Linked DNA regions of Oryzias latipes. The protein of the gene in region 1 binds, or shares a complex with, the protein of each later gene. Links are inferred from orthologs where the notes say so. Each region holds a gene or a part of one and is shown on either strand. Other genes may lie near its edges.

The links.
Region 2: cdc45 (region 1) and mcm7 share a complex: the UniProt entries of both Homo sapiens proteins name them as parts of the CMG helicase complex. The link is inferred for Oryzias latipes from reciprocal best matches to the Homo sapiens genes CDC45 and MCM7.

Annotation. Positions count from the first base shown.
Region 1 is NC_019867.2:6,359,178-6,361,816, reverse strand, and holds part of cdc45 (cell division control protein 45 homolog), read left to right. Parts: intron 1-71; coding exon 72-130; intron 131-200; coding exon 201-249; intron 250-330; coding exon 331-392; intron 393-470; coding exon 471-521; intron 522-605; coding exon 606-725; intron 726-1,702; coding exon 1,703-1,834; intron 1,835-1,908; coding exon 1,909-2,007; intron 2,008-2,091; coding exon 2,092-2,253; intron 2,254-2,341; coding exon 2,342-2,480; intron 2,481-2,560; coding exon 2,561-2,639. UniProt on the Homo sapiens protein: Required for initiation of chromosomal DNA replication. Core component of CDC45-MCM-GINS (CMG) helicase, the molecular machine that unwinds template DNA during replication, and around which the replisome is built.
Region 2 is NC_019868.2:6,627,548-6,631,302, forward strand, and holds the start of mcm7 (DNA replication licensing factor MCM7), read left to right. Parts: upstream 1-1,300; coding exon 1,301-1,331; intron 1,332-2,683; exon of another isoform or gene 2,684-2,726; intron 2,727-3,213; coding exon 3,214-3,293; intron 3,294-3,490; coding exon 3,491-3,655; intron 3,656-3,755. Other genes in the region: cohesin subunit SA-1, read left to right, coding at 233-283. UniProt on the Homo sapiens protein: Acts as a component of the MCM2-7 complex (MCM complex) which is the replicative helicase essential for 'once per cell cycle' DNA replication initiation and elongation in eukaryotic cells.

The DNA.
Region 1 (2,639 bases):
CTGAAAGAGTAGGCCTAACGGTACGGTAGAACTGACGATAACACAGGCATGTCTTTGTGGCTTCATTGAAGGGGGCCGTGGAGAGGAGAATAGAAAGACAGCGAGTGAGAAGAGAATGGGAGGCTCGAAGGTGATTTACTGCTGTTGGAGTTTCCATTAGTGTGTGCATTTGTTTAATTCTAGCTGTTTCCATTTGGCAGAAAGGAAATCTTGTTTGACTATGAGCAGTATGAATACCACGGGACATCTGTGAGTATTTATTTTTACAATTTTTAAAAGTTTCTGCCCAGTGAACCTACACTTTTGTTTTTTCTGTGCTGCACTCATCAGGCTGCTATGATGGTTTTTGAACTCGCCTGGGTTTTGACTAAAGACACCAAAGACATGCTCTGGTGAGCTTTCTCGTGGAGTTTCAGTCAGTGAAATAGTATGTTTCAGTGTCTGCTACATACGTTGATTTTTCGTTTCAGGTGGGCCATTGTCGGCCTGACAGATCAGTGGGTTCATGATAAAATTACACAGTAAGAACATTATCAGCTCATGTTTCATAACAAAGTGTCTTTATCAGGGTGCTCACGCGGTGACTCCATGTGACTTTCCTTTAGCATGAAGTATGTGACGGATGTCGCTACAATGCAGCGACATGTTTCCCGGCACAGTCACCGTAACGAAGACGAGGAGAACTCACTGTCCATCGACTGTATGAGGATCTCTTTTGAATACGAGTAAGCCCAACTCCTTTAATTATTTCATTTCTAGTCACTTTTACATAATTTAAATCGGTGTCTCCAACCTTTTTCGGGCCCTGGAATCAATTTCATGTCAGACAATATTTTCATGAGCCGGTGTTGTGCTAAAGTGGGCATCAAATTTATTATTAATTTCTTTTTTTTTAGCCTCAAGTTTCCCAATAAATTTGAGGGTAAAGTCTATCCTTATTAAAATGTCTGCGGCTGCTTTAGACTTTATTTGTACTCTAGAGTTTGGGTAGGAAAATGTGTTTTAGGTTTTCCCTTAACTCATACTTGTCAGAGTGAAAGCTTAAAAAAAAAAGGATGCAGATTTTAGCCTCGACTGGCTTTCAAGGTACGATAGATTTAAAAAAAAAAAAAGTTCTTTTCTAAATATTCACCATTAGAGCAACTTTATGAGCAGCATCCTTATCAGTAGCCAGTTGCTGAATATTTAACATTATTTTTTATAGTTGTGTGGGATCAACTGTTGCAATAAATCTGTATTTTTAAGTAAAGACTCTTGATTTTTCTCTATGAAATGGAGCTGTATTTTATTTTGAAGTCGAAGGCTCTTCTTCTGTTTCCTCTCTGGATCTTGTTAACTTTGCTAGCTTGGGGATTTCAAATTGGTAATCAGCACAGCTGCTTTAAATAAAAGTAGCTGATGGAGTTTCGACACGTAACCGAGCGACTTGACATCATTGACTGTCAGGGTTTGACATGCCTAAAGAATGAGCCGGATGTGTTGGAGAATCCTGCAGTTTTCCAAAATAAAACTACCTTCAAAATGAGGTTATGAATAAAACGGGAAAAATGTAGGATGTTTTGTTTTTTCTCTGTGGCCCGATACCAAAAACCGGTATCGGTCTATGGTTCAGGGGTTGGAGGCCACTGCTTCATATGAAATGTTTTCAGTTTCAGCAGTGACCAAATCTTTCTTCTTCTTCTTCTTCAACCTTGTGCCTCAGCTTGCGCCTGACGCTTTACCAGCACTGGTCTCTGTATGAGAGCATCTGTAACTCCTGCTACACCTGCTGCCACTTCAAGCTTTGGACCCTAAATGGCCAAAAGAAACTCCAGGAGTATTTGGCTGATATGGGGTATGCTACTGTGATTAACTGATTTTTAGCTAGCAGTCCATGAACGATAATAATGTGTGTTTCTGTTTTACCAGGCTACCCTTGAAACAGGTGAAACAGAAATTTAACTCCATGGACATGTCCATTAAGGAAAACCTAAGAGAGGTTATTGAGGAGTCCTCTAACAAATACGGGTGGGGGTTTGGCTTTAAAATACTTGTCTTGCTGGCTTTAAAAAAAGAAAGAAAAGATGGAATGCTTTATTTTCTTGGTTTCAGTATCAAGGACATCCGCATCCAGACATTTGGGGCTCAGTTTGGCTTCAAGAACCGTTTCCTGGCGAGTGACATGGTGCACGCTGCTGCTGCCTTGCTAGAAAGCACTGAAAAAGATGAAAGCGACACAGATAACTTCATTAAGGCCCTTGATTCACTTTCAAGGTCAAAACTTTACTTTTTTTTTCTCATAAAAAATCTTTTTGCATCAGATTACAGAAACACCTTATCTGTGTTTTCTGGTTTTGTACAGAAGTAACCTGAACCGCCTCCTGTCTGGCATCGATCTGGCCAAGAAGAAGCTCATTGCCATCCAGCAGACTGTAGCCAGCTGTATTTGTACCAACCTCATCCTGTCACAGGGACCTTTCCTGTACTGTTACCTCATGGAGGTACAGGCCTCCGCCTGCAGTTCCCGACAGCAGTCAGTCTTTCTTCTGTTTTTCAGTCCTCTTATTTTTCATTTCTTCAGGGAACTCCTGACGTGAAGCTGTTTTCAAAGCCCATGGCCTTGAGTCTGCTCTGCAAATACCTGCTGAAGGCCTTTGTCC
Region 2 (3,755 bases), on another chromosome or scaffold:
TATAGTCAGAAAAGAACATGTGAAAAAGACCAGAAACCCCATTTTCATTGGAGCGAGTCTGTAAAGAAGAAGTAGAGATCCTGTTGTGAGCTAGCTTTAGTTTTTGTTCAAAGTTGAGACGGTTGGAATGATCTGTAAATCAGTTTGTACGGTTAGTGTTCCGCAAACTGTTTTGGTTGTGAACTATTTGATTGTGAAGTTAAAAGCGTCCTCTGGTTGTGTTTTCTTTCAGCCTTCTACAAGGCACACCTCCGTCAGCGTCCTGGATGAGCTCTTTGACTGAAATCTTTCGGGGATCCTCCAGCCAGATCTTCTGGAGCTTCAGGAGTAAAAAGTACTTAAAAAAAAGGTTTCTTTTTCTGTTTGAGAGCTGTTGCCCTTTGTAACTTTGTTTATAAATATTTTTGTTTGTTGTAAAAGATGAAATATTTTTGAAAAGTTGAAATGTTTATATTTTATTGGAAGTAATGTTCGAAACCTGTCAGCTTTTTTATAAACTGAAAGTGCAAGGACTTCTTAGTATGTTGTATTGTTGGCAACATGTGTTTTGTTAAACAGTTTTGTTTATTTTTTTAAGACTCTTATTCAAAAGTGTTGTGTTTGGTGTTTCATCATTTTTGATTTTGTATTTCAAAATGAAATTAAATGTTGTAAAACACAGGTATCGGCCCTGATTGATATGTGTGATGGGAAAACATGTGTTAGGTTTTGAATGATTTAAACATATAAAGCAGTCAACTATATGCTTTAACAACCATGACAGATCATAAAAATAATAGAGCCATTAACCAGAGCTGAAAAAGATACCAGTGATTGCATAAAAATCTCTTACCTCTAGTTTTGTTTACACATTCAATGAGAAAAATTACCTATAAACATGTTTGCTTTTGCATTTTTTTCTATCAAACAAAATGTAGTTTAGGGTTGGATTTTGCCCTGTACCTCCTTTGTCTTGTAGGTTCAGTCTGTTCATGCAAAATCTTATCGTCACATTTCGCGCCATTCCTGACAAACTGGGCGGAAGTTTATCCAGTCACGTGAGACGTTGTCTCCAGCAACTTTCCCGCCACTATCAAATCCCGCCCCTCCTCTGTGAAAGCCGCGAAACTATTGGCTGATGCGATTGTCAGACTCGCGCCACTTTTTGCTCTCCGACCGACAGGAGCTGGGTGCTTGTGAATGAGTTCAGCACTCCAAGAATAGAAAATAAAATATCTATTTAAGCTTTACGTTTGACTTCATCTGGGCTTTGTAGCGTTGCGTTACGAATCATCTGTCGCGGAGCTGAACGCCTGCAGCCATGGCGCGAAAGGATTATGCGGCAGAGAAAGGTAAGGACTTGTGTGTCTGTGGAGAACAGCATGGCAGCAACAGGTTGGCCGGATTTCCTTTTTTGACAAATATCTTTAAACGAAAAGCAAATCGTGTGAAGCTGCATGTCGCTGAACATTTCATATGAAGATTTACGTGTTGATGATGTCATTCATTAGTGAACTTTATCTCATACACTACTTTATCTCACCTGTAATGCCAGTTTTATACTTTTAATTTCTATTTGTCGTGGTTACATTACAGCACGGTGTGTTAGAGTAACCCGTTAAGACATAACTACTCCTAAGATGGTTACTAATAAGTTGGTGAGTCGTACTTCGTTGGAGTTGGTGACTCCGCGGTGACCCGGATGGAGCCTTAAACAAAGGAGCAGGCGCCACACTCAACTTCAACGCACATGCCCTGCGATGGTGGCCCGCAGAAAGTTGACATTTCACAATGTATATAAACAGTCTGCCGCCTTTAACAACAACTTTATCTTTACGTACAAATATGAACGTATATTTTTAACCAGCATAAATAAAGTGCTTTTCATGATTGGGTAACTTCTACAATTTCCCTTTATGGTGAAAAGGCTTTTAAACACCACAAAATCACAGGTTTTGTAGTTCGTGTACACAGAGTCCAAATGTGTGGCCAAAGTAGAGACTCCAGCCTTTTTCCTGAGTGTTAGCATGCTAGCTGCGTAGCTGTTGTGGCGTCCGTGAACGGGCCATTTTGTATTTAGCGCTTCGTGCGGTGACTCAGCCGGCGCTGCTGCTGCTGCTGTAGAGCCGCGCAGTCCGTTCCCTTCCGTGAAAACAGACACGCTAACACTTCAGACTCAGGGTTTTGAACATCTATACAACGTAACTACTGACAGACCCTTTAAAAAACTTGTGTGGCAACAAGCAGAGTCAGGAAAAAACACACACAAGAACACAAAAAACGATGCAACTAAATTGTGCTCAAACACCTCTCAGTGTATGTAAACGGTACTTATTATGCGCCAAACTAGTTTTCATGCTGTTACATGGATAGTTTATGGTCCCCGGGTAAAAATAATTTATGTTACCGTTTTTGGATCAATATATTTCGGGTTTGCGCATGTTTAGAACACCCCTTGGGACTAGTTTTTGCCGTCTCCCCCCTTACCGCTGGGCTATTTATCCTATTAAAGATGCGTTTGGTCGGGGCGGCGTGTACGAATCACTACCCTGCTAGCAGCAGCTAATGATAAAAGATGGCTGGCCGCGGTTAGAAAACAACAGCATGGACTGCTTTTAAGAGCGGAGGAGCCGCGGAGGGATATGAAGTGACGCGGCACAAAAGCCATGTGCTGCTTTGTTTACAATAACATCCTCGACCAGATACGCAATAAAGCCACACTGGCGCTTTCCCGTTGCTACCTACAAGTAAGTTAAATGGTTTTTATCGCCACACAAAGGCTGTTTGTTTGTTAATTCCGTTAGTTCCGCGGTTCTGCTTCCGAAGTTGGGGTTGAAGTGTTTTCAAAAAAGAGGGGCGCCGAAGTGAATGCGCGCTTGTTGTTGTTTTATTTACAACGCGCTCTGAGGAAAATCCGCTCCAGGAAGCCCGTTTGTTGTGTACCCGAAAATCGCGCTAATGTGCGCACCTGTGCGAAAACTAGCTTCCATCAGGGCTCCGGCGGCTAATTGTGTGTTACAGTAGGCAATAGTGACTCATCGAGATTACAGGATGCCATGTTACTCAACAAAGAGGGTCGTCGCAGGACAACAAATTAGCTCCCAGTTTGCAGGCCTGCAGCTTCAAATTGATAATCATTCTGTTATAGGAATATAATGCATAAAACTGTTTTTGCCAACAGCATTCAAACCGCCTTTGTTTGTATTATTAAGACCGGGGATTTGTGTTTTGCAGAAAAGTGCAAAAGGTTCCTGCAGGAGTTTTACACAGAGGACGGCAATGGGAAGAAGGTGTTCAAGTACGGAGCACAACTTGTGAGTACAGCCAATGCACAGCACATGCATTTATGGCAGATGGAGGCGTTTCAGAGAGCGCCTGTTTTCTCTTCTCATTGTCATTATTATTCCAGTTTATCCACCATAATCTGCTTTTTAAATCAACCAACTGAGTCCTTCCCATCAGCTTGTCAACATGCTTGTTTTTCTAATAGCTTTGGTGTGTTTGTGGATAGGTGGCTTTGGCCCACAGGGAGCAGGTGGGCCTCTTTGTGGAGCTGGACGACGTGGCTGAAGAAGACCCTGAGCTGGTGGAGAGCATCAGTGAAAACGCCAAACGCTACACGGGCCTGTTTGCCGACGCCGTCCACGAGCTGCTGCCAGAGTACAAAGAGAGAGACGTGCGTTTTAGCACATTTTTTGTTGTTGTTGTTCTTATTATCTTGTTGCATGGATTATTGCAGTTTGTCTGCAAACAGAATTGTGGTCATCTTTAGTAGT